Linked DNA regions of Schizosaccharomyces pombe. Changing the gene in region 1 together with any one later gene gives a genetic interaction. Each region holds a gene or a part of one and is shown in the gene's direction. Other genes may lie near its edges. The genes, in order: mtl3, oca2, irc6 and SPOM_SPCC4F11.03C.

The links.
Region 2: mutations in mtl3 (region 1) and oca2 together harm fitness less than expected from each alone (positive genetic interaction), as found in Schizosaccharomyces pombe (one large-scale study listed by BioGRID).
Region 3: mutations in mtl3 (region 1) and irc6 together harm fitness more than expected from each alone (negative genetic interaction), as found in Schizosaccharomyces pombe (one large-scale study listed by BioGRID).
Region 4: mutations in mtl3 (region 1) and SPOM_SPCC4F11.03C together harm fitness more than expected from each alone (negative genetic interaction), as found in Schizosaccharomyces pombe (one large-scale study listed by BioGRID).

Annotation. Positions count from the first base shown.
Region 1 is NC_003423.3:4,050,988-4,058,723, forward strand, and holds mtl3 (protein Mtl3), read left to right. Parts: upstream 1-5,060; 5' UTR 5,061-5,180; coding exon 5,181-6,785; 3' UTR 6,786-7,236; downstream 7,237-7,736. Other genes in the region: SPOM_SPBC215.11C (aldo/keto reductase family protein), read right to left, coding at 1-395; GTPase Cwf10, read left to right, coding at 1,614-1,639, 1,684-2,043, 2,082-2,433, 2,493-4,709; ESCRT III complex subunit Vps20, read right to left, coding at 7,407-7,736.
Region 2 is NC_003421.2:756,080-765,969, reverse strand, and holds oca2 (serine/threonine protein kinase Oca2), read left to right. Parts: upstream 1-3,345; 5' UTR 3,346-5,116; coding exon 5,117-7,069; 3' UTR 7,070-7,602; downstream 7,603-9,890. Other genes in the region: protein Emc6, read right to left, coding at 8,109-8,119, 8,209-8,464, 8,546-8,605; xap5 (splicing factor, xap-5-like protein), read right to left, coding at 9,784-9,890. UniProt on the Schizosaccharomyces pombe protein: Overexpression causes cell cycle arrest.
Region 3 is NC_003424.3:2,463,520-2,467,928, forward strand, and holds irc6 (recombination protein Irc6), read left to right. Parts: upstream 1-1,705; 5' UTR 1,706-1,828; coding exon 1,829-1,886; exon of another isoform or gene 1,887-1,926; coding exon 1,927-2,316; exon of another isoform or gene 2,317-2,358; coding exon 2,359-2,550; exon of another isoform or gene 2,551-2,593; coding exon 2,594-2,694; 3' UTR 2,695-2,975; coding exon of another isoform or gene 2,976-3,740; 3' UTR 3,741-3,909; downstream 3,910-4,409. Other genes in the region: mRNA-decapping complex catalytic subunit Dcp2, read right to left, coding at 1-1,432; SUMO-targeted ubiquitin-protein ligase subunit Rfp1, read right to left, coding at 2,976-3,740.
Region 4 is NC_003421.2:2,006,151-2,012,645, reverse strand, and holds SPOM_SPCC4F11.03C (uncharacterized protein), read left to right. Parts: upstream 1-4,906; coding exon 4,907-5,914; 3' UTR 5,915-5,995; downstream 5,996-6,495. Other genes in the region: SPOM_SPCC4F11.05 (uncharacterized protein), read right to left, coding at 1,857-1,999, 2,045-2,144; mannosyltransferase Imt2, read left to right, coding at 3,450-4,487.

The DNA of each region.
Region 1 (7,736 bases):
TCAATTTGCTTAACTCCAAGTCGACGCATGCTCATAAGTACTTCTTGACGTAAAAATTTGGGTGCTCCACAAGGATGCCATTCATTTGGACCTGTACGAACAAGGCCACCCTTGGTAGCAATTATAAGTCCTTTGTAAGGGTATAAAGCTTCTCGTAAAAGATTCTCGCTGACCTCAGGGCCGTAAGAATCGGCGGTATCAATAAAGTTAATATTGAGTTCAGGCAAACGTTTTAAAGTTGCGATGCAAGCCTCTTTGTCTTTGGGTTCATCCCATATACCATCACCGGTAACTCTCATTGCTCCGAATCCCATTCTATTGACAACCATGTCGCCAACCTTGACAGTCCCAGCTTGTGAAGCATCTACGGCGGAAGAAGCTGCAGTTTTACTCATTTTTGTGTCTTTTGTCGCTTTTCTTAGAAATCAAGATCAAGTACTATAGTGGATCCGGTAAGTGTGGGATGTCAGACGCCGTTTCCTTTTATAGTAATTTTACATGGTGTATTCCTTACATAAGCTGGATTGATGCGGACTATCTTAAACCACGAAAACTGATTTATTACATACCCTATTTACAGAATCCAGTGGTATGATGTAAGAGCGCGTTAGACAATATATTGTCATAACGATGACTAATACTATTATAGTACGATATTGCTGGTTGGATTTTGAATTAGAGTAAATAGCTAAGTCCTTTTTGATTTGGCTCTTATTCAATTTAATGATAATTTTATGGTTCCAAAATCTGATGCTGGATGAATTGTCTAAACTGTATCTCTGTCTTCTTTTGCCAGCCCATTTTTATTCATGAGCAACGATGGTCGCACATAACGATAATGATCTTTATTGCTATGTTTCTTTCTATTCAAGATAATGTGGATTTATATTTTCCATCTTCTTGAATTATGCTTGATCGTGCTATCAAATCGTACTACGAGTTATCATTTGGAGACCACAAATGGGTTGACCAGTTCCGTAAATCGAGGTAAACATTGCACATAATAACAATTCTAGGACTGTATTTGAAAGGAAACACATTTTTTGAATTTAGTTGATGATGCCAGTATATTATTAGTGTTATTGACATTCAGCAATTTGTTGTGTGTTTTATAAACACACTAAATACTTTGTACAGTTGCAAAACTTGCGCTCTAAAAATGTTTGCACCGCACTTTTACAATGGCTATTTACTCTTACTATTGTCTTCGAAAAGCTTATAAATTTGGCTGCTAAACATGGGTCGGTAGCTCAAATCGTAGACATAACCAGTCTTTTAAGGTCTCAATTACACCCATGTACGACTTTTAAGGAGGAAGTTGGTAAATAAAAAAGTATATTTGGTTTTCAATAATTACGATTCATTCCTTTCTATCAAAATGAGACGATGTCGTTCTTCGGCAACCTTAAAGAGTGTAGTGGAAGTTACTGAGCCGATCATATCTCGTTTAGAGAGTATAAAGACAATGATTTCTCTAGCTCATTATCAAAGCTTAACGAGATATAAATCGCAGTTGAGACATGAATGCGCTAAAGCTCGAAAACTTGGTTACACTTTACTTCAAATTTGGTAATTACCAAAAGTTGTGCATTGTGGGTACTTGGCAGTAACTGATGATGGAAGAGGATTTATATGATGAGTAAGTGGTCTAAAAACATTTTATAGTTATTTCTAACTCGCCAGGTTTGGAAATTACATAGGCCCTGAAAATGAAGAAGATGAAGAGGAGCTGTTTCCTCAGGCTCCTAGCCCTACAATTGCACAGGTACCATCCTTTGAAGAGGTCATTCCTGATGAAGAATTAGAAGACGTTGAAAGGGCCGAGGAAATGGCGTTGAGTCATCTAGAGCCTCAGAATGCCGTTGTTCTTCACGAGGATAAACAATATTATCCTAGCGCTGAAGAGGTATATGGGTCCAACGTGGATATCATGGTTCAGGAACAGGATACTCAACCCTTAAGCCAGCCCATTATTGAGCCAATTCGTCACAAAAGGATTGCTATAGAAACAACAAACGTCCCAGATACTGTATACAAGAAAGAGTAAGTATGTGTAACAATGTCTTTTCTAACTTTTTAAGGTTCCTCTTCGGTCTCTTAACTGGGACAGATGACGTTAGATCTTTTATTGTTGCTGGCCATCTGCATCACGGCAAAAGCGCTTTATTAGATTTACTCGTTTATTATACCCATCCTGACACCAAGCCGCCAAAAAGGCGTTCACTTCGATATACCGACACTCATTATCTTGAAAGAGAACGTGTGATGTCTATAAAAAGTACTCCACTTACGCTCGCAGTTTCTGATATGAAGGGTAAGACGTTTGCATTTCAGTGCATCGATACGCCTGGTCATGTCGATTTTGTTGATGAAGTCGCTGCTCCTATGGCCATAAGTGATGGTGTTGTATTAGTCGTTGATGTTATTGAAGGTGTAAGTTATTCTGGCCTTTTCTTGCGTTTTGAAGATATAAAGATTCTAACATGCTTTAGGTGATGATTAACACCACTAGAATTATCAAACATGCGATTCTTCACGATATGCCAATTGTGCTCGTCTTGAACAAAGTTGATAGGTTAATCCTTGAGCTACGTCTCCCTCCGAATGATGCTTACCATAAACTTCGACACGTTATCGACGAAGTAAACGATAACATTTGCCAGATTAGTAAAGATTTGAAATATCGCGTTTCTCCTGAGTTAGGGAACGTTTGTTTTGCTTCATGTGATCTTGGATATTGTTTTACATTGTCTAGTTTCGCAAAACTCTATATAGATAGACATGGAGGTATCGACGTGGACTTATTTTCTAAAAGATTGTGGGGGGATATTTATTTCGATTCGAAAACCAGAAAATTTGCCAAACAGTCCTTGGATGGCTCTGGCGTTAGAAGCTTTGTCCATTTCATATTAGAACCGTTGTATAAATTACATACCCTTACTATTTCTGACGAAGCCGAAAAACTCAAAAAACACTTATCTTCTTTCCAAATTTATTTAAAACCCAAGGATTATTTATTAGATCCTAAACCACTCTTGCAACTAATTTGCGCATCGTTTTTTGGATTCCCCGTTGGTTTTGTGAATGCAGTTACTAGACATATTCCATCGCCTCGAGAAAATGCCGCTCGTAAAGCCTCTCAATCATATATTGGGCCTATAAACTCTAGTATCGGCAAGGCTATCTTAGAAATGAGTCGTGAGGAATCAGCACCATTAGTCATGCATGTTACTAAACTTTACAACACCGTCGATGCTAATAATTTTTATGCATTTGCTCGTGTATATAGTGGTCAGGTTAAAAAGGGTCAGAAAGTTAAAGTTCTTGGAGAAAATTATTCTTTAGAAGACGAAGAGGATATGGTGGTTGCTCATATTGCTGAAATATGTGTACCTTGCGCACGATATCGTCTTCACGTTGATGGAGCTGTTGCCGGCATGCTAGTTCTTTTAGGAGGTGTTGATAACTCTATTAGCAAAACAGCAACCATCGTTTCGGACAATTTGAAAGATGATCCTTACATTTTCAGGCCAATTGCTCACATGTCCGAGAGTGTTTTCAAGGTGGCTGTAGAGCCACACAATCCATCAGAATTACCAAAACTACTTGATGGCCTACGAAAAACAAACAAAAGCTACCCACTATCTATCACAAAAGTAGAAGAATCTGGGGAACATACTATTTTCGGTACTGGTGAGATGTATATGGATTGTCTACTTTATGATCTTCGGACTTTATACTCTGAAATCGAAATCAGAGTTTCCGATCCAGTTGCTCGTTTCTGTGAGACTGCGGTGGACACATCAAGTATCAAGTGTTTTTCAGATACTCCAAATAAAAAAAATCGTATCACAATGGTAGTTGAGCCATTGGAGAAAGGAATTTCTAATGACATTGAAAATGGAAAAGTTAATATCAATTGGCCTCAAAAAAGAATCAGCGAATTTTTCCAAAAGAACTACGATTGGGACTTACTAGCTTCACGTTCCATCTGGGCTTTTGGTCCCGATGATCGTGGTACGAATATATTGCGGGATGATACTCTTAGTACAGATGTTGATAAAAACGTGCTTAATAGCGTAAAAGAATACATTAAACAAGGTTTTCAATGGGGGACTAGGGAAGGTCCTCTATGTGATGAGACAATCCGAAACGTGAATTTTCGCCTGATGGATGTAGTGCTTGCACCTGAACAAATTTATCGAGGAGGTGGTCAAATTATTCCAACCGCAAGGAGAGTGTGTTATTCTTCTTTTTTAACAGCGTCTCCACGGCTAATGGAACCAGTGTATATGGTTGAAGTACATGCCCCCGCTGACAGTCTTCCTATTATTTATGATTTATTAACGCGTCGTCGTGGTCATGTCCTCCAAGATATCCCTCGGCCAGGTTCCCCATTATATTTGGTGAGAGCACTTATTCCAGTCATTGATTCTTGTGGATTTGAAACAGATTTACGAGTGCATACTCAGGGTCAAGCTATGTGTCAAATGGTATTTGATCATTGGCAGGTAGTACCTGGTGATCCACTGGATAAGTCTATCAAGCCCAAGCCATTAGAACCCGCACGTGGCTCTGATTTGGCGAGAGACTTTCTGATTAAGACAAGACGTAGAAAAGGTCTGGTGGAAGATGTTTCTACAACTCGCTATTTCGATCAAGAAATGATTGATTCTTTGAAAGAAGCAGGTGTCGTACTCTCTTTGTAATGTCGGTTTTAAGTCTTTATAATGGATTTTGCAAAAAAAAATAAATTGGGTAGATTTTAATAATAAAGTATACGATTATTTATGAAAGTTCGAGAAGTCTAACAACTTTTTTTTGCTTTCAAATCTCGCGTTTACAGTGTATGAAATCCGAAAAATCAGCGCATATCTTGAAGCCGTAAATTATTTGTGAAATCCTTGATCAGAAGGAAAAGTCGCATTTTGGTTTTACGATTTTAGTATATAGATAAATAACTTCTATTATTTATTTTTTTATGTTAAGAAACTAACACTCAACTGAAATAACGTAATTTCATAGTACTATAAACACCCGAGGTCATATGTCATGAAGTTACCCTCTCAGTATACCGGAAGACTTTAGGGACATATACAACTTCCGGAAGTGCTCTGCTTTTGGAAGTAAAATACAGCGAGTTTAGTTAGATTAGTTTATTATTATCCTTAAAACTGAAGATGGGTTTGAGACTTTTGTTTTCTCTCATTTGCGTATTTTGCATATCGAACATTTTTACGCAAGCCTTCTTGGTGCATCAAATATATGGTAATTCCAGCTTCACAAAAATATCTTTAAATCAACTTGAGGGCAGAGATTCTCAAGAGGAACTACAAAGGCGTCAGGAAATCCGATATTATGGTCGTGCCGCTGAAACTGGAGGAACTCCTACTTACTACGGGTATGCGACACCCACTAGCTCTAGTGAACCCAGTATCTTTTCTGAATCTGCTACTCCCTCAGAAACTAATTCTTACTCGTCTCCGGTCAGCTCTTATTCTGATCCCGCAACTAGTCAGCTTCCCTCGTCGACTTCTTTCTTTTCACCTACTTCTTCTGAATATACGCCTTCTAGTACGGAATCCAGTTCTCTTCTGGACCCAAGTTCTGTATCATCAGCTATTTTACCAAGCAGTACTAGTGTTGAAGTAAGTATTTCTTCATCAAGTTTGTCATCTTCTGATCCTTTGACTTCTTCAACTTTTTCCTCCTTGAGTTCAAGCACTTCTTCAAGTCAGCCATCTGTGAGCTCCACCTCTTCTTCAACCTTTAGTAGCGCAGCTCCTACTTCCACTAGCTCCTCCTATTTGTCTAGCTCAAGTGTTGTTTCTTCATCGAGCTCTCCTTCATCCTCCTCTAGTTCGACACTTACTTCCTCTTCATTAAGTACTTCTTCTATTCCTTCTACTTCTTCTTCATCATCTTCTACTTCCTCGTCCTTGTCTTCTTCCTCTTCCTCTTCTACTGCTTCATCTTCGTCTTCTTCTTCTTCCATTATTTCTTCGTCCTCCTCCTCTTCTTCTTCTCCCACATCTACCTCTTCTACTATTTCTTCTTCCTCCTCTTCCTCTTCTTCTCCCACTTCAACCTCTTCTACAATTTCATCGTCGTCGTCGTCCTCTTCTTCTTTCTCTTCCACCCTTTCTTCGTCTTCTATGTCTTCGTCGTCGTCGTTCTCTTCTTCTCCTACTTCTTCCTCTTCAACTATTTCATCATCATCATCTTCTCCTTCCTCTTCTTCTTTCTCTTCTACTACTTCTTCCTCAAAGTCATCTTCTTCTTTCTCTTCTACTGTTTCTTCTTCTTCGAGCACTTCGTCTTCTACGTTAACAAGTTCTTCTTCTTCAAGCTCTCGTCCCGCGAGCTCTTCATCTCATTCCTCGTCTTTGTCAAGTCATAAATCATCCTCGTCTTCTAAATCCTCTTCTGCTCCAGTATCTTCAGCTTTTTATCACAACAGCACCTCTAGCAGAAGCTCTAGTCATTCATCTAGCCATTCATTATCGAGCTTGAGCTCAAAACCAATTCTGACTGCTAGCTCATCTTCACTTCTAACTTCTTCAAGCCATACATACGAAAGGTCAACTGTATATGTGGTTACGGTGGAAACTGTTTCTAGTGGATCTAGTACTTATGCATCTCAGTCAACTCAAACTAGCATTTTGTTGGTCATTGTTGGTGATAGTTCATCGACAGACAGTTCCGGGGCTTCTTCAACTCATAGCAAGACATCGATTTTCTTTAGTTTATTTGTTGTTTTAGCTGCTGCGATTGTTATTATTTAATTTGCCGAAACGCTCGGTCTAAAATTAGATTCACTAAAGTTTTGAATCTTTAATGCTTCTTTTAATAACGTGAACTGTTTATTTTATTTTTTTAAGAAGCTACAGAATGGGTTGAAACCACGCGGATCTTGTGGTTTATTAAACGTTTTGATACCTATATTTATTACTATTAAACCTGGCTTATATCTTTGCTTGGCGGTCTGCTACTTAAATTTTTCGTCGAAGGCTTTTTTGATTTTATTTGTAATTTATTTCAGCAATTTTAATGTCGCAAATTATTAGTAAATAGCGACTCTTTTGATAATTAATGTTTTGGACCAAAATTACAAAAATATTTTTTTACTGAGAATTCCACTGGATTAGTAATTAATATAAATTGATTAAAAACACGATCAATAATGATCGATTAATAATTAATATTGGTTGAAATATCATTCATTAAAGTTAGCTGAGTTCAAAGTATTAGCGAATGCAGTTCCGTGATTAGGAATTAGGATGTAGAAGTTGATGCATTAAAGAAAGTTAATAAAACGAGATGAAATGAGAGAATATATGAGATGGAGAAAAGCAAATAACAAAAATAAAACGATAACAAATACAAATACAAAGCCAGATCCATAGTTATCCCAGGACTGGATCTTTTCGAAGTTCTTCATCGATAACTACAGCACTTGAAGTATTGGAGACACTTGCTGCTTTGGGGAAGCTTTCATCCAATGACGGAATTGCATTTTTCAAAGGCACCGAAGGCAGCACATCGACGCCAGTGGAAGGAGTAAAGCCTGGTTTTTCTAAATCCTTCACCTTTTCATCCTCCTGCTCTCGAATTAAGGAGTCTAACTCTTCTTGGATTTCATCTTCTTGATCTCTTGACATACGACCTTGAAGCATGTCATTTACCTCATCCACATACGACATTGCTTCATCTCGATCGTTACATATTCTCCCAAC
Region 2 (9,890 bases), on another chromosome or scaffold:
TGATAAATTAAAAAATAAAAGAGATGAATTTTATGCAAATAGTTGATTATAAGAGCGCAACAATCTTTGTATTAATAAAACTACACATTCGCTTATTAAATAACCTTAAACTCGGTTATACATGGATTTCCAAGTGTCGCAAGTAGAGGAGAAATGGAGAAAATGGAAAGCAAAGAATGGATGAAAATTGTAAATCAGCAGTTTCGAACTTTTCAAAAATTTGTTAAAAATATTAATTTTTCAATTTAATTGAATTTTGTTTTACAAGGTGGATACTATGGAGGAAAAAACAAGATATGTATGGAAAAGGTAGCGATCGCAAAGGAAAAAAAATATTAGAAAAGGAAATGGAATGAAATTAATTGAACGAAATGAAAAGGACATGAAAATAAACAGAAGTATAGAACAAGAAAAAAAAAATTTTTTTTTAAAATAACATAAGGATGGAAGTGATCCGGAGTGAATAAATAGAGGGAAATGAAAAAAATAAATAAATAAAAAATAAATAATAAAATAAAAAATATTTATATACACATACATATAGATTGGAAAAAGATGAAAGAAAAAAAATGAACCAACCAATCTATCAATAAGTAAATCAATTAATCAATAAATATATAAAAATAAAAATTCTAAAACCAAGAAAAAAAAAAGAAAAAGAAAAAAGATTGAAATCTTATAAACAAATCCTTCTACGCTGCATACAAACACGTTACCACAGTCTGGAGTACTGTTGGAGAGTGAACCGAGACAGCCGCGGGGCGGTCCTTCGGCGAAACCAACGAGACGTTAAATATTTGCGATAATATTGTATAGTGCAAGTATGATAAAGACCGGTAACAAAAGTATAGCGGAAATTGAAAACCAAGTGCAAAATCTTCCAACGAGCAAAAGGTGTTACCCAAGCACGTCAGATGCATCAACCGAAGCAAAAATGTTTAAACGCAGATGAAAAGCTTATTGGAAGAAAAGTAAATTTAAGGCCAACGATTGGAGGAAGGAAAAAGTTTGATGGGGCAGATCCATTATGTTACACCTTGACTTTGTCGGCAATCAAGTCAAGTCAAGTGCCGAGGGCGCGCCAAGGTGGGTAAAGAAAGAGACAAGAGCAATACCGTGACGATCGGAAAAACCATTACCGAGAAATAAGGAAGGCCGGTAAATGGAATGAAACGTGGAGCGGCCAAAGGAAGAGAGAGAGAGAGAGTAGGAAAGAGTGAGCGAAGAAGGTGTCTGTCTGTAATAAGAGGAAGAAAAAGATGAGATGAAAGATGGATAGAGAGAGAATTGTAAGACATTGATAGAAACATTGATGGATTGGAAAAGAAAAAGAAGAAAAATCAAAAAGATGTTGGCAATTGTTTTGAATTCTAGTCAAAGAGTGAATGTTATATGTTTTTATGCTTAAAAAACAAAAAAACCATTCGAATGTAAGAAATGGTTTGAAGCAATATAGCCAGCGAATAAAAAATAAAAAATAAAAAATAAAAGGAAAAACCGTTCGATTCAAAGCAAAGTACAAACAAAGCCACAAAAGGATCTTACTAATAACGAATGCTACAAAAAACTAGACCAACTAACTAAACAAGTAGCAAAGGGATATAAAGAGGTACAGCGAAGTCACTGAAAAGATGAAGATAACGAGATATACAGATGTCATTAAAAGAGTGGTATAACGAAATATAGTGATATCACAAACCCACAGAATTTTAGGGCTGGTAAGAAAAGTAAAGAGAAGAAAAACAAAACAAAAGAATAAAAAAAACAAAAAAACAAACAAAAGGAAAGGCTGATGTGCATATAGTCTCAAAAGTCAATCGAGTTTAGTTTTACTTTTTCATGAGCATCTAGCATTTGCTCTTGTTTTGTGTTCGGCCGTCTGACTGTTTGGATGAGGAAGAAGAAAATTTTGTAGGGCGGCCGTGAAAGAAAAGGAAACAAAGGAAAAATTAAAAGAAAATAAATAAAATCGAATTAAATTAAATTAAATTAAATTAAATTAAACGAAATAAAATAAAATAAAATAATAATAAAAATAAAAATAAAATAAAATTGTAATTGTAATTGTAATTGCATTTGCTTTTGCTTTTGCTCTAGAAATGCTCCAATGTCTTTCCCTCGTACTAGTGTCATTGTCAGGATGCTGGATGGGCGAGATGACAAACGAGGAATAGTGTGTGCAATAAACAGGAGAGAGAAAGGCAAGTGAGAAGCAACAAGAGTTGAATCAAACTGAATTGAATTGAACCAAATTATTATTCTTCTTATAATCAAATTATTATTCCTCTTTAATCAAATCACTATTCCTCTTTAATCAAATCACTATTCCTCTTTAATTAAATTCCCATTCCTCTTGCTTACTGCCGCTCTTTTTTTCCCCCTCCCCTTGTTTAGATTTGGGTTGCTGAAATTTTCTTTTCTTTTTTTCATCCTCCTCCTCCTCCTCCTCCTTACTTTATTTTGTGTTTAACTTTTTTTCCCTTCTTTCCTTCAACTTTAATAAACCCGATCATTCCTTCCGATTGATCCTCTGCCAAATTTCCACCAAACGGTCGGATCCAAATTCAATGGAAAAGGAAGCGACTGGCGGTCGCACGAAGCAATGACCATGGCAGATGGATGAAATGATAACATCAACGGAATTAATTTCCTGACAAATGATGATACAAAGTATTGAATGAAACATGTCAATCATCATTTACTTATCTACATTTCCCACACTCTAGTGAATTTCATACTTTAGCTAATTTCAACACTTTAGCTCTAGCTACTCTTCCACCTCTTTAATTTTTTCTTTAGCTCTCTCCATCTCTCTATCTCTTATAACAATCTCTTTTTTTATACGTTATTCATCTTTAACCTCTCCCTTTCATCCCATCTCAATTCCTCCTTCGACTCTCAATCGCCCCCCATCTACCTTCTTTCGCTCTCCTTCTCCCCAACGAGGTCGCGTTCCTCTTCGCTATTCCCCTCTACTCCCCTCTCTCGCCCCACACACCGCCTGTCTCGCTCACTCAACTCCCTTTCGCCCTCCCCCACGTCATCCCCCCTGCTTGCTAGCGTTTAGCCTTTCGTTCTTCCTCTCAGCGTTTAGCGCGGTGCAACGGATTGTGGAGTCGCTCGCCGGAGGTAACACGTTGTAGCCGAACTAAAAGTGACATCATACTTCGGCACTTGCATGGGTGGGATTCCCGGAGATCGTGTGGATTTGCTAGCTCCTCCATCCAATGCGACTCGGCAGTTGATGTAGAGCGGCCATTCGAGATTACATGGGAGATGCTGTAGTAGACTGCGTGTTTCGTATACATATATTATATACACCTGCCGTGCACCGCAATACTTTTTGCCTTTTCCCATCCACTTTTTTTCATAGTATTGTTGAGAGCCACATTGATTGATTCCTTTTTATCAAGGAATTGAACCTGTTTCTCGTCGTCTTTTTTTTTTTTTTTTAAACTAGCAAATAAAAAAATTCATTGTAAGATTTGAATTATACTAAAAAGCTCTACTTCACTCCCCCGTCAGTCATAGTCCAACAACTTTGACTCAACAAAGCAAAAGCAAAAGCAAATCAAACCATACGATACGATACGAAAAACGAAAGTTTTTTTTGTCCATTGCATTGCTTTGATTCCCTTTGGTCTATCTGCCTTTGATTTCTTTTCTGGGTAAAACAGGAATTGAAAGAATTTTGAGAAAGTAAACGAAAAAATAAAGATTGAATAAAGCATAAAGATCTTATTTCCCATCAAAACATTGTTGTTATTGTTGTGATTTCTTCTGAAAAACAACAAATCAATTTCCAACTTTTCTATTCATTTACGCTTTTTTCCAATTCCCTTAATTTTCCATCCATCCATCCATCCTCATTGAGTCGAATTCTTTCTACTCAATTTGCCATTCGTCCCTTCACCCTTCCTATTCCACTCCCTTCTTTCCGGCTTCTTCCGTTTCGTTATTTGGTGTGATCGGTATCCCGAAAGTGAGTGAGTGAGTGAATTGTGTGATTCTCTTTCCCCCTTGGTATTCTTCCTTCAATCAACATTCTTTCGAATTCCCTTTTTGGGTTGATTTGTTCTTTGTTGTTGTTTTTTTTGTTTTGTTTTGTTTTTACGTACGTTCTATTTTCTATGAATACATAGAATTTCCTGTTTCGTAATCTCAATTCATTTCTCATTTTTCATACTTTATTTGAACCCAAGGTTTTCACACTTTTTCTTTATCTTCTCTTTTTTTTTATTTCCTTTGTGTGCTTTTCTTAAAGCCTCTTTTTTTTCCTCTTTGTGTGTCGTGATCGATCGGATCGTCTCGTCGGCTCACTTTACCTTGAATTTCTCCCTTTGGAAAATATCTACTGATATACCTATAAAAAGGTTCCCCATTCCCAATTAATTCCAGTATTGTTTTTTTTCCCTCTTCCTTATTTCCTTTTTTTTTTGTTCTTGAAATCTCTCATTCCTTTGTCGTTGCGCCAAAGAATTTTCCATAAACAATAACCAATTCGTTGTTGTCAGCGCTCGATTTCCCATCAAAAAAAAGTTATCTTCTTAGGAAATACTTATTTCTTTTCTCTCTTCAACCCTTTTCTTACTTGGAATTTATTTATTTATATATTTATTTATTCATTCTTCCCTTGTCATCCGTTGTTTTAAAAAAAACTCGCTTGACATTTCCTCAATTTCCCATCTCGTCTGACAGTATCTCCGTTACAAACTAATATCTGTCAAAAATCTTTGATTTTTCTCTACTTTCTCTTTGACGTGTTTGTTTATTTCTTGTGTTCCCATTCACTCCGTCTTGAGATTGCCTCTTTGAATCGTACTTTCTTACGCAATTGTTTTGTGTCGTACTTGAAAACTTGTATTGTTAAATAGTTTAACAACTACATTCCTTTGAGTTCATTCAAGTTTCTCTTTTGTATTTTCCTTGTTGTATTCTGAAGTTTTCTGTCTTTTTTCTTCCCTGTTTTTTACCTTTTTACCAAACCTTCCACTTGTTGTTTGGTTCATTGTAAAACACTTTTTTCTCTAATCTTACCGGTGGTTTGCTCTTCAGTGAACTAGAATATTTCTTTTGTTTCTTTATTTTACAATTGCACATGATTGCCGTTACGAACATGTCTGTCACCCCTCCCAATGTACAGTTTAACCTTAATGGGGATAGCGATCATAAATCAGACAATTCCAGTTCCTCACTGGAAAATAAACTTGACACTGAATTAAAAATAACGAGTCCTCCTCGTAACCCTCCTCAGCGTTTGCATCCTGTCGACTTTTCTGAGCACGCTGATACGGACGATGATATGAATCATCCTCTTCCCAGAGTTCAATCCCCCGTCCATATAAAGAATCACATTGACCCTAAACTTGCCGAGGATCGTTATCGTTCATCTGCTGCACGTCACTTCGAACCTATTTCCATTCCCCCTTCCGCTATCACCTCTGAGGATGAAGATGATTATCATGGCTCTGCTAATTCTTCTACCGTCCTTCCCCCTCGTACTGAAAATGCTTTACATGCTGCTAGTCCTAAACCTTCAGGTTCGACTGGTTACACCTCTCCTGCTCTTTCACAAAACAGCGGCAGTGGTGGTGAAGGCGAATCTGATGAAGGCTCTTTTAACACTCAGCATCATCGCTCCCCCATTTTTCAGGCATACCCTTCTTCAGAAGACCTTGTCGGCGATCCCAACGATCCTTATCGACGCACCCGCCGTGCTCCTATTAAGACAAATCCACATGATATCCCTTCACAGTTCATTTTCAGAAAGTTGGGTCTTCATCATGGAAAGCATGGTCATCATGGACACTCTGGTAGTTTATCGTTGAAATCTCTTGTTCCTAATCATCATGACAAGCATGATAAGCATGACAAGCACGAAAAACATCATAGTTCTTTAGATCTTCGTCGCTTTTTCAAATCCCATCAAAAGACAGACAAGGAGAAAAAGCCATCTGTTTCCAAGTCAAAATCTTCCGCTAACCTCCAAGATGATCATTTCGGTCTTTTCAAAAAATACGGAAAATTTGGAAGAATGCTTGGCTCTGGTGCAGGCGGTTCTGTCCGTATTATGAAGCGATCTTCTGATGGTAAAATTTTCGCCGTCAAAGAATTCCGTGCAAGAAGGCCTACTGAAACCGAGCGTGAATATGCCAGAAAGGTTACTGCTGAGTTTTGTATTGGTAGTGCTTTGCACCATACCAATATTATTGAGACCCTTGATATTGTTGAGGAAAATAAAAAATTCTATGAAGTTATGGAATATGCTCCATACGATATGTTTTCCATCGTAATGAGTGGTAAGATGACAATGCCTGAAGTTTATTGTTGTTTCAAACAACTTCTCTCAGGTGTTGCCTATTTACATTCGATGGGTTTGGCGCATCGAGACTTGAAACTCGATAATTTGGTTGTGGATAGTAATTGCTTTGTTAAAATCATTGATTTTGGTAGCGCTGTCGTTTTCAAATACCCCTTTGAAGCCGATATCGTTGAGGCCACTGGTGTTGTCGGTTCGGATCCATACCTTGCACCAGAAACCTTGGTCCGGAAACTATATGATCCTCGTGCAGTGGATATCTGGTCCTCCGCCATTATTTTCTGTTGTATGGCTCTTCGCCGCTTTCCTTGGAAATATCCCAAGCTTTCAGACAATTCTTTCCGTTTGTTTTGTATGAAACAGCCTTCAAATGATGCTGAGTCTCCCAGTGATATACTTGCTGACATAAAAAAACAGCGCTTAGTCGAGCAAGGATGCGAACCTATTAGAAAAACCGATGAATCACATAGTCCAAACTCTAAAACTGATAACTCTTCAACTCATAAACAAGAGTTGTATGGACCCTGGAGACTTTTGCGCCTACTACCAAGAGAAACTCGTGCTGTTATAGCTCATATGTTGGAGTTGGATCCTGTTAAGCGTTACGACATTCACAGGGTCTTTGCAGACAATTGGATTAATGATATTTCGATGTGCCATATGGAAAATGGTAAAGTTATTCATTCTCCAACACATGTCCATAATTTGGTGGCTTCAGAAGAGTCACCTGCTCCACCTGCAAAGCATTAAAAACTTATATTGTCTTTCCCACGTTTGTTTACAAAGTCGCCTTGGATATTGGTGATCTGTTAAACGATACCAAAAAATGAATAATGTGGTGGCTTGTTAATGAGCTAATCTCTTAATCGTTGACGGTGTAACTTAGTTTTCTTTTCAGACTTTTTTTATGTTAAAAAATACTTTATTCTTTGATTATTAGGGACATTTCAATTTCTTACTATAATCTCCTCTATTTAATAGTCAGTCCCTTTTTTATCAGCTCAACTTTATGATTGTTGGTGATTTTTTTTTTCTTTCTTTGGTTATTATATTATTATTATTGTCTTTGTGAGGTTAGCTTGTTTATGAGTTATTTATATGGTAAATAGGGGAAATCTACTGTGGTAGATTAAAAATATCTCTACAATTTTGAAAATAAATGTAAAATTGTCGCATCTTTGAATTTGGTTTTCATTTTTTAGTAAGTTTAGATAATACAATACAATTCATTAGTCTCAAAATTTTCAAAGATCGTGTTTGAATATGATATTTTGTCCTTTTCAACCGTTGTCAAAGTTGTTGCAAATATTGAATATATGCAGTGTTTACTTCAACTGTATAATAATGGTAAAACACGTGTTCAAAAAATAAATGCCTAGGCATCCATGTGCCCTGAAGCAGCTAGTTTTTAAGCACTAGAGACAATTTCTTAAAGAAGTAGAACATATCTCATGCAAAGTTTTCGAAATCAAATTTAAGGAAGACGACATGAATACAACGGAATGTGTGTGCTATGTTCTAGCATCGCTGACAGGACAAATATATTTTAAACAAATATCCTATTTTCTATAGGAAAAGTAAAGAAATGTAAAAAAACAGTTAGATTTGTGTTTTATTAGGAAATACAAAATATTTATAGGATGGGTTCACGAACAAAAGGAAGAGATCCACTTTTTTCTCAAACAATAGATCTTAATGAGGTATATGTGTTATTAACGAAAGGGCTGAACAAGAATAAGGAGGGTTCATCTTGGATTAATTGCCAAATGCATAAATCAAATTAAACACATTACTCATAAACTAATGACTTAGTTAGCGTGTAATTGTTTCAATGCGAGATCTGACTATTCAAACAAAATAAAATAGCAACGATCGAGCAAGTTTCTTACCATATACTAAACTGTAGAACAATGTCCAAGTTAAAACATAAGAAGGTGCGCCATCTAATATTTTAGCGATCCAAAACTTATATCCGGGCTGGTAATACTTAGTTAAGTTACCACGCATTTTCAATGCAAAGAGTAGAAAGGAGACGAAGAAGTAACCGAGTACATACAGAGCAAGCCCTTCATATGAAGTTAAACCCAAAATACCAGCTGCGCACCCGAAAAAACTAGAAGTCAAGTTTCGAACAAAAGAAACGACCTTTGGATTCATTAGCACTCAATTATAAAATCCTTAAAAAAACTAGTACCAAGAAAATCTAGCTCTGCAATCATTTCTTACCTGTTCATTATATGCAACATTTTCTACAACAATTGGAGCGACGCCTTTATCCCTTTCCATATTAGCTTATGAACAATTCTGATGTTTAGTTGAGTTCACCGCTTGTAGAATTATAACCAAAAAATGATGGATAACGCATCTTTATACTGCGGTATTAACTACATAAGGACTTAGTAGGAACGTAATTTTTTCGCAGCTTGACGTATCCTTAAAAGCATTTTGCAAACTGCGTAATTGCCAATCTTTCATGTAAAGCTACAAGCGATATGGATATGGGAAAAAGCATTACTTTTTGCTTGGGCTGAATGTTGGCTAGTTTGGAGGGTGAAATAGTTTATTCAATACAATTGAGTACTTTATTTTTTTCCATTTGATTTTTTTGAACAGAAATGGGCTAATTACTAGGATATTGGGAAATCGCATTGTTTAAAAGAGGTTCTCGTTTTACATCAAGGTCGATTTTTCATATTTATTTGTTTTAGAAAAAAGTATCATCTTATATTTCCTGTATTACTGGTTTTCTAATTCTAAAACTTGAAAATGGTGGATGAAACGTTACATACTAGATTGTTTACAGTATACCGAAAGGATTAGAGACTCGTGAACATTCGTAAAAGCGACATGCTTATACTTCCAAGAGAACGAAAAGCGAATTTCATTTCTTATTTACAATAGAATAGTTATTCTCATCATTCAGTCACGATCACTTTTTTCTTTACCAAAAATTGTATACCTAAATAGCACAGTATAATCCACCGCAAATTAACGTATCGTTAATATGTTTATGATCAAATACTATGTATTTGCATACCAACGCTGCGATACATTAAATAAAAACAAGCAGAAATATGAGAATTCAATAATAAAGGAAACATTTAATAATTCCAAAAGCGAATTGCTAATTTTTTAATTACTTTATTTTACAATATCCTATAGCACATCAATGAAATCAAGGTTTTCAGTCAAGGTTGGAGTGATGTTGAGAGTAGTAAGTGTAAATACTAAAACCCATTGCGAATACTTAGTGGATAATATCTGTTTCTTTTTTACCAAAGTCTCTCTCTTTGTATAGCTTATCAAGTTATATGTTTGGCGCAATTCATTTGTTTAAAATACAAACATAAAAACAATATAGTTGTAATGAAATTGTTATTAAATTAGTCGATGAGGGAAGTATGAGTATGCAAAACAAAAATAAAGAACCAAGAGAAAAAAAATCGAAAACTTTTTAAAAGGCATTATGAGGGCCGGTAAAATAATGCAGCGTTAGGATCAGTTGCATGCTTTTCCAATGAATAATCTTTTCGAGAATCAAAGACTTCCCAATGCACACATGGAAACACAT
Region 3 (4,409 bases), on another chromosome or scaffold:
ATGATTGACCTGAGTTATCGGAATTTCGAGCTAAAAACTGAGTCTGAGATTGAAAAGGAGGAAGAGAAGAAATTTGTTGAGTCTGATGACCATTTACATAGGGAGAAGAAGATCCGTATGCTGGTTGCGGAGTTTTGCCTAAACCATAGGAACTAACGGAAGTCGAAGTGGGAGGATAAAAAACTTGATGATAAACAGTACTTGGCGAGGGCAATTCCATTGGAGAAGGCATGTCGCTAGCGGCAAATAAATGCTGAACAGAATTTTGGTCTTTAAGTAAATTTGAATACATACTCTGCTGAAAGTGATTATTCAACACAGGTTTATTAGTTAACATGTTGTTTTGAGAAACAACTCTTGGAAAAGAAGCAGATGGATTTTTTGGATCCAATCCAAGGTAAGCAAAAGGATCGAAACTGTTATTATCATGCGATAAACGAGAATTGCTGCTTTGAATGGGGGGATTAAGAGGAAGGTTCGACACAGGAGGAAGTTGAATTGGAGATTTAGGTTCATTTCCTTCATTTAATAAATGCAAGATTTTCTGTTTAATGTCAAAAGAAGAATGTGATTCAACTGGTGGCTGAGGAAAAGTTGAAGGTTGCGGAGTAGCAAGGTCTGAAGGTGCTGTCGAAGATTTCAAAAGAGAAAGCAGTTGGGAAGAAGCATCAGCATCAACATCAACGGAAATGTTCTTTTCTTTGGTAGTGTTATTGGCAATATTCCTCTTCTTAATCCATTTCTTCAATGGCGCCAAAAATGGGATTACCATGTAAAATTTGTTTTTCATGGTCTGAGGTTTATTTTTTTTGAATGTAGGAAGATCCATAAGATTATGCCATTCAATTTTACTAATTTCTTTTCTTGTACGAGATTCAAATCTTGTATCCAAAGATATTCCAGGAATAATATACAATCGAACGTTTTGTCCACGTATAGTCATATCAATAAATTCATTAGGATTTATACGGCTAGAACAGTCAAAGCCTGTTTCTTCATATACTTCACGAATAGCACAATCAACATCAGATTCATCTTTATCAATTTTTCCCTTAGGAAATCCCCAGCCGGATGATGCTTTCCATCCTTTGACAAGTACGCATTGCTGCATTGACATATCAAGCATTATAGCTCCGCGGACAGGAATACGAGTCTTATATCGTAAAAAATCATCAAACGCCTCTTCATGGACCTTACTCCACTTCCACAATAAAGGACAGTGAGCAAAAAGCTTTGCACTAAAAACACGCAAACCTAGTGATGGCAACTGATCGTTTTGCGCACGTATAAAATCTTCATAAAACCAATGAGCTTGTTCGATTTGAAAACAAAGTCGTTCAACGCTACTTTGCTCCTCTGCTGGTAAATTCAAGATAAATCTAGCTGATAAATCATCCAGCACTTGCGAAAACGTGGCATTTGTGAACGACATATTTCTTTTAATATATAGTAGTCTATTGTTTGCATTTAAAATTCTAAGTCACTCCAAAGCACGACAAATTCGTCAACTTTAATTTTTGTGCGTCTTGGTATTTAAAGCCATTTATGCGTGTGCGTATAACACAGAGTTAGGGACACGTAAAATTACGTACCAACCTTCGTTAGTGATAAACTAAACCATTATTGATTTAGGAATGTATCACACTGCGCTATACTATTGCTCAATCCTTGTTTCATTAAACTGTTAGACTGTAGTTAAAATCACAATTTGCCTTACCTTTAGGTCTTTCGAGAATTTATTTATCCACCAAAAACTTGTTTAATATTCTACAGAACTGATTGAAAATATAAAAAAGCGAATTAATTTTTGCTAAGTACATAAAATCATATGCGAGTTATTTTGGTTATAGGTCGCTCTAATTCTGGAAAGCTAGATTTTATTAAGGGTAAATATTAGTGTTCTATTTGCAATTACTAATTGAAAAGCTTTGACGGGTTCTTTACCGAAGGGGTTAGATGACGAGGCATTTAACAATGATCATTCTGGCTTGATTCATAAGTATAATATCAGAAATAAATATTTTGAAGCTTCGGTTGGTATTTGGATTGAAGAATATTCTAATTTAGCTGAAACTTTGGATGCTTATAGTTCTGAAGAAGCGAAGGAAGTTATTGATAGCTTAGGTGCCATTGTATATACTTTTCGAAGTTTTGATGAAGCTGAGTGGTCTCTTTTTAAAAATTTTATAGATAAACTACAGCTAGAGATTCCGGTAATTGGGTTGCACATGTCAGATGAAAAATTACTAGAACCACCTGATGTGTTTACCCCAGAATATATTTCTATCAGCGAGGAAGGAGTGAATGAATTCAATGGTAAAGTCAACCAATCTTCTATTTATTAACAAGTCTCTTTAGAGAAAGTAGGACTGGACCGTGTTCGAGAAATTCTCGATTGCTGCGAATGGAACTTGTCACAAGTTGATAAAAGTTTCTCGGAAGAAAAGGATGATGCCGGAGATTTCTATCTCCCGGAACGATTCAAAGGAAGTCCAGACATGCAATCGACGGATCTGGATAATTTGATGAAAGAAATGAACCAAATTAGAGGTTGGTAACTCCTTGAGTCGACTAAACTAACAACGAAATTTAGATGCTGACCTGGAAAAAAATGAGAAAAAGGCCAAGGCTTTAAATCTTTTAGAAAAATTGTTAGGCGATGAATTCGAGGAAAATGATTATGAATCGCTGTAGAAACAAGGCCTTTGTTCGTATCCGGAGAATACATGTTGTCGCTGGAGCACAAATTGATGTATAATAACTATTTGAGTTTGCAAGAAAGGTTCAATTAAGTTTTATCAAAGTATTTTTTACTAAAATCTAAATCTGCTGTATTGAAAGAGGACCTATTAGCAACTTAAAAAAAATTCGTAAGTAAAGCTCAGTCACAAATTGTGATAATTTTGGTCGTATTTCATTATTATAGACATTATAAATCCAACACAATGGACTACATTTTCAATGTACAAGGTTCGTCAATAAAATAATTCCCACATGGCATTTTTCGTATTTAAATAACGGCCACAGTCATTCACTAGACATTTTGACTGAGATCGTTTACTGGTTTTCAAAACTTTTGCACAAGAGCCACAATAGACGTGACCACACTTTGTTGCCCATAATGCAGATTTCTCTTTGCTTTTGGATGTTCCTAATGGTTCCTGACATCTTGGACAAACCATCAATGTATCATTGTTAAAGCTTCTAGTAAATCCAGATTTTGGAGGGCCTGGAGGCTTGTAAGACTGTTTTATATTTTCTAAAGAAGAAGTAAAATCATCATATGATTCTTCAAAATGGTTAGAGAAATATTCGTCGTCTGAACCGTTAGTCCATTCTGGATGTATAGCGTCAAATCTCATTCGGTTCACAATCAACTGGAAAAGAGAAGGGGATAAGGAATTAACAGAACTAAACTCAGGAAATGTCCTGGCAATCATTCCCATCAAATCTCGACGTGAAGAAGAACGACGAGTGGACACCTGAGGACCTAAGTAAATCATGTCTTCCAAATACGATAAATGATTTGAAGGAAAGTTACGAGACCGTTCATTCCTTCTCCGGTTCATACGCCTTCTTCGAGGACTTAGAACAGGAGATGATGGAAAGCTGTCATCAGGAATAGCATCCAAATCAATGATATTTGTTGAAGAAATAGAAGTTTCGACTGGTGGAGAAGGTGATCTCGTCAAATCAATTACACTGCTTTCATCTATTCCATTGCTTCCATTAAATTGCATTGATGTGTGAAAAAAGATACACAATTGTTTCCTGTCAAGTAATTGACAACGGGCAAAAAATTAAGTCGATTTATTTGTATATATTTTGGCCTTGCATATATTAACGAAACGGTATTATTTAATATAAAGCTCTAATGTATTGCTGTATATCAAAATACCGCAGACCAACAGTTCGGTGCATTTTTAAGGCAATGTCCAGTATGCTTTATTATTTATAAACTAATGGCTAGTAAAGAAACGTAAATTAGAAGTCGCATTTCTTTGTTTACACATTATCTTTATAAAAAGGAAATGACCTTATGTGATAATTTACTGAGAAGATCAAACGCCAAAGAAGATATGGCGAATAGAGGAATTTTACGAGCTTAATTTAGCAAGAAGAACCAAAAAAATATGCCTCTAGTAGACGATATGGATTTTTTATTAAAGCACAGAAAATGAATTTAAAATACTAGACGATATTTGATAGTACAATTGTTGAAGAATTAGGATTGTATTTATTAAATCCGCTAGATTCTGAAGTTAAACTTTCACAAATGAGTAATTGGAACATCAGCGCTTGAATATCAAGTTCCTGTCTTGAATTTTTTTGAGTATAAATATGATAAATCAAATAATGGATAACACTGCTTTTAGACCAGCATCAAAAGCGAGCGACATTAACAAAGA
Region 4 (6,495 bases), on another chromosome or scaffold:
TACTAACGAAAACAATATAAAAAAGAACATACCTTTTTATGAAAAGAAAGTGTTTCTATTTAAAATTAAAAACACTGGTTAGAAACCTTTGAACAAGTTTTAACTTGAAAGTCCCACTTATTTGTATGCTATGGGATGGTGTTGGGAGGAGGCAGGTTTGTAAAGCTGAGGGCGGGTTCCTCGGCTCTTCATCAACAAAGGGAAGGGAGAGTACCGTCACGTGCACATGGGCGCAGCATTGTTTCATGCGTTAACACATAATTAGTTAACAAAGCAGGATTCGTTCAGCTCGCTAATACTTGTGTAAATTTTGAGTAACAGGCCAATATCTGGTCTAACGAAATTTTCCGAAAGGACATTACTTTAGTACCTCCTTGATGTGTCAGATGTACACATTAAGGCACCATCAAAAATCCATATCCAATGTTATAGGAAACTGTTAATTGAATCATTGAAAATGAGATGAGACGACTAGTTTCCGGTCATCCATAAGCCAGACAAAATTTTATCCACGGTGGTAAACGAGGTATCAAAGCTATTTTAAAAAGAGCAAATAATGACGCAACAAAAGGTAAACAAGTAAAATGTTGCTTTGTTTACTTTTCGGTCTTCCATTGGAGATGCATGTCGACGGTTGTTGCAAACGAGGTGTTGGATATATTCAAACAAAACAATTGTAAGAACGTGTACGAGCTGAAGGAAATATGTGCTCAAAGACTTGACTTGAAGAAAGTCATGCTGAAATGAAGGATGGAGAGAAGGCAAATACTCTGGAAGTTGTTTATATTTAGTAAAGGAAGAGGTGTGTCGATGGTCGAAGCAGCAAAATGCTTAATACAAGAACAATATATTAACATCGTTCGCAACACTGGTGATAACTTTCCAATCAAAGACTTTATAACAATGCATTAAAGGTTGAAACACAAGAAACACCGATGATGGGGTTAACGAAGTATTCTTGTCGATTAAAGCCATATAATTACGGCTTGGGATAGAAATTTTCATGTACAGTGTCAAGATTGTCAATCCATGTACTAGTGAATATAGTCTAAAGAAAAGAAGCTTGATGATCGTTTCTAAAGACTTACAACGAGGTCACACTCGATTGTTTAATTCTGCTGAACTTTTTTTTTAATGTTGAAACATAATACGCAGGTTAAATCTGGAATAGTAATTCTGCAGTAACGCTTGTCCTATCCTTTTGGATACCTCTTGTTAGTTAACTTTTAAAACCCCAAGAGGAAACAACATCTTTCAAAAACTGTCTTTTCGATTAATTGCGAAATGGAGGTGTTCTCATGAAGAGGGAAGAGAAGAAGAACGTGTCCAATTTCAAAGCTCCAAAAACGAGTACTTTTAGAGTTAATTTTAAAATGTAAATGCTTACTGTATTTTTATAGTCCCGGGAAGTGTAAACACAATGAATCCATCATCTTCGCGTACTCAATTCTTTGAATTCACCAACGTTGCAAATTTGCAAAACTGAGAAGGAAAATAGGTCAAGTTGATATAGAAACAGTAGATTTATATGTCTTTATATTACAAATGATGGAATAAAAACATTTAAAGGGAAAAAAAGAATAGTTATGTGAAAAGTAAACACACAAAATAGCATTTGCTAAAATGGGTCTTTGCAAAATTTTAATCAAACATTCAAGATTTTGATAACACAGTTCTTTATTTTTTATTTTAACAACAAATATAGTATATTCTAATTCCATGCATGCATGGTAAATGCTCATTCATGCACTTTTCTTAGTAGGTATATATATATATATATACGATGATTCTAACGGGCTTTATTCTGCAATTTCATTTAAACACCAAAAGTCATACGGCTATTATATTTGACTCTTTCAGCTGGGAATTAAGTTTTGCTTTGATTTTTTGCCTTTTTCTTGTTCAATAACAATAGCTACTCTATTAATGTGAATAACACTTGTGCAATTAGGATGCTTGTATGGCTTCTTTACAGACATTGTTATCGATTGCTTACTAGCTAAATCAGCCGTTAATATACAAAAATGGTAATTGACTTAATAACAAAGAAACGTGTCAGGTCTGAAATATCGACTGTAGATATGAATGAATGCGCTCAGGTTGAGTATTCTTTTAATCGAAAAACTGAGTAAATCGATCTCCATATATTCATCGACTTTAAATCAACCTCCTTGGAACCGCAAACGTGGAAACCTTTCCCTTGTTGATGATCAAGCTGTCTGCTCCATTGTTTACAGACATGCAAAAAATCAAGCTTAAAGCACATTACCAACAAGAAGCGAACAACCCTCCAGAGTCACTGTGGTAACATTCATGGCTTAGCCGAAGGGATATTCTCCAAGGTCTCGATTCCTAGGAGTGAACAATGCTCAGCTATCAAACACTCCTCTGCAACGAGCGGAAAATTGGTAATAATGCACACTGTAACCTCGGACCTTTTATGACTGGTTTTCTTTCGCCACCTCGGTGCGAAATCTAAAAAGTGTATTGAGAAAAAAAATTGTGGGGAAACCGACTTGTATTGATTAAGGAGACGCGGGCATGCATGTATGTCTTTCCTTTAATGTGAGAAGGGCTTAAAGTTAAAATACTTTCTTAAAGGCAACTGCAACAGTTGAAATCGATTAATGCGCCGCTTACTACAACAAAAAAAAAATTCGCAGTTTAAAAATCTTTAAGAAATCATATTCACATTACAGTCTGTGATTGTGGAAACTTATTTTTTCAAAGATCCATCAAAAAAGATTAAACCGTTTTACATGGCTGTTATTTACCAAATTTTCCTTACATCAAGCCTTTCAAAATATCACTCTTTTTATGTTTACAAAATGTTAGTTTTGGTCAATTTCTTCTCGTATGATTTTATATAGACGCCTTCAAGATTCAGTGTAAACGAAAAAAATAATAGCATGATTTTTTTTATCGTCATGGTGATGCCTGAACACAAAGACAGAGTGGCTTTTATTTATTATTTTATCAAGCAAAACTCCTTTAATAATAGCAATCACTTCAAAATTTCGCATCATCTGAAGCCTTTGTTTACTATTCTGAAGTCTTGAAAGGGTAATATCTTTCTTCCACTTTGAATAAACATAAAAGTAAAAAAAAAAGTTCCTCTGTTTTTCTCTTTTGAAAAACAAAACGTTTTTCTTGATTCATCCTTATAAAATTGCATTTAGTACTGTCACGAGCATTTGAAGCTTTCTAAGGATTACTTACTCCCTAGTTGTTTAGATTAGCATTTCCATTTTCGTTTTCTCTTTCTTCAGAACAGTCTCCATTAGAATTGGACTATAGTTCGTTGCTAACAAGTTCGTCTCTCCATTCATTACTGTATACATTACACTCTATCGTTTTTCGGATTGCAAGTGCAAACCTTCTAAATCTTTTTAAAAATACTTTTGCCCCTTCTGCTGTTAACCCATTGTTGATATTAGAAAACTGTTAGGATGGTGAAAGTCATATATAAATTTGCAGTTTTTGCTGCCGTCAACTTTTTCTTGATGAGTTCCATCGTTCTTTACTTCAACAATGAATTCTTGATGTTTGCAGACAGATGTACCAAGGACATCATTCCTTCCGAAGAACTAAGATATTTACGCCAAGTTCTTAATGATTCAATTCCTTCCAAAGATGAACCGTTGCCAACTTTGAAACTTGATTCCTTGAACGATATTTCAGGGGAACCTGTTATTCCAAAAATCATTCATCAAACCTGGAAAACCACAGAAGTGCCTGAAGGATGGAAAGGTGCTCAACAGAGCTGCATAGATTTACACCCAGATTACGAATACATCCTTTGGACTGATGAAATGTCTCGTAATTTCATTGCTGATAACTATCCTTGGTTTTTGCCATACTTCGATGCTTACCCTTTCAATGTTCAACGAGCGGATGTTATTCGGTACTTCGTTCTTTATCATTATGGAGGAAATTACATTGATTTGGACGATGGATGTCGTCAACGGTTAGATAGTCTTCTCTATTATCCCGTATGGGTTCGCAGGACCGACCCTGTAGGCGTTTCCAACGATGTTATGGGAAGTGTTCCTCATCATCCATACTTCGAACTGATCATTCAAAACCTCGAAAAAAATGCGAAGTCATATTGGCTTCCCTACTTGACTATCATGTTGAGTACCGGTCCCCTTTCAATCAGCTTTCTCTGGGAAAAGTACAAAAGACAACTACCCAACCCACCCGCATTTTACGACCACATTCGTGTTTTACTTGAAAGGGATTACAAGTTTTCCAACGACTCTTATTTCACCTTTTATGAAGGATCGTCATGGCATAATAACGATGCAGGCATTATCCTTTGGGCTAACCGTCACCTTGCATATGTAATCGTTGCAGGATTTTGTCTTTACTTTATCCTTAGCTATATGTTTTTCTCCAAGCTGTTGGACAGCCGTTATGTCCAAAGATTTGTCACATCGAAACGTAAACAACCTACACTTCCTCTTGCTCTTCAAGAAGACGTCTAACTTTGTGCATTGTACGTTTCCGTAAAATATGCGTCTTCTTTCCTAAAGATGATATTTCAAAGCTCTAGTGTGAACAGGCAACTTCGTTTCAATTTATATTGAATGGTTACACGAATGAGCATCCCCTTTTCCGTTCTACTATTAGGAATTCAATGAACATTTGCTATTGCTTGTTATACTGTGATTACGAGACGGTGCATAGAGAATTGCGTTGAAACTCGTTAAGGAACTATGAAATCTTACCACATATAGAGGAGCCTCAACCTTCACCACCAAACACAAGCTACGTACGCGAACGCGAATTCTAGGGCAGAGTTCGCTGGTTCACAAAAGTTTGAACATCCTATTTAACTAAAAGGTTGTTCAGATCTATTCAGCTTTGTGATTGCATAGAACTCCCATTGTTTGTTATTCCTTCCATGGATGCGGAAGGTGAACAAAAGTCCAATGGAGTAAAAGAACCTAATACGCCCCTTCGTGAAGCACTGGATGAAATATTTTTAAATGTAGGGTATTTGCTTCGTTCCCTTTTGGCTAATGTTCCCAATGCTCTTTACCATAGTCAGTTGCAGGCGGCATGTCAAAAATTCCAGGATTATTGCGATTTGGAAGAAATACGCATTATTGAAGCAAAACGTGTTGTTGAGCGCGATTTAAGATCTTTGGAAGCAAAAGAGGTAGAGGAGAAATCTCAGTTCGCGTCTTTCGTGAGCGCTACTCCACCTGGAGCAAACAGTCTTCAAGGCAATGTATCTTTGCCCTCGGGCAATAACTTTTTCACTTCCTCTTTTGATTCTGAGAACATTTCGAAACCGGGAGAGGTTTCTTTAAGCGAAAGTCAGTTACTGGGTAACTTGAACCAACAATCATCAATCCAGCTTCCTGATAGGATGCCAAAAACAACTAATGGGACTTTAGCAGATCCAAATATGCCACCTAAGACAACTGTAAATGATCAAGACGTAACAAAGGATGCATCTCAGCAATTTGGAGGCTCAAACTTTTCTAATTATTTAAGAGACAACGATTCCTTCCAATTTGGAATGAATACGGATGCATCGGGAGATGCTCATCTGCAGGCCAGTGAGTTTTTATTACCGAATCTATTTGGAAATTCTTCTACCTCTCCGCAAGACAACTTTGGTACTTCCAATTCAGCTCTTTCCCGTAATTTGGATTTGTTTGGCTCCCCATCTTCTGAAAATAAAAGTACTGCAGGATCGGCTTCTTTGTTTCCTAACCAGCAAATGGGAATTGACTTGCAAGCACAAGAAAACTACAGTGCTGCGTTCGGTAATGATGGCAGCTTTGCTTCGCATTTAACTAATACGTTTGACAACGCTCTAAATCTTCCTACAGACATTCCAACCACTGAAAGCATAAATGACTTGTTTGGTGAGAACTTTGACTTCACCATGACAAAATGAGTTGAGTTGACTTCAGTTCAGCTATGTATGATCGGTTTAACGTGGTTGTTTCAATTTGTCAATGTTTTTTTCATGTATTATTATCTATTACTATAGTCATTCATTTCCAGATCATTCAACAAAAAACCTATAAACGGTAATTATAAAAAACAATTGCATGTCTTTATCCGGTGAGTATCATTTGATTGTATTGCTCTGCACCTTTATGTATGAAAACTAGAGTTGAGACAGTAAGTAGAAAAGCGTTGTCTTTTTCCTATGTTTAGGCCAATGCTAAAATCTCGAATACTTGGTACAATTAGTGTATGTATATATATTTTTACGTGCAAATGGTATTTTAGCAGGAACGGGACAAAATAAAGACAACCCGTAACTTCAGAATAATAATTATAATTCGACTTTTAAATCGAAAATTAAAGACGATAAAAGGGTAAAATAAATTTTTTTTGGTGAACGTATAGCCTTTGTTATAAACACCAATGCATGCACGCAAGTACATTCATAATATTTGCGAAGCAATTGTAAATAAAAATACCGAAAACACTCACGAAGAACCTTAAAAAGAGTGAAATGTTTGTACC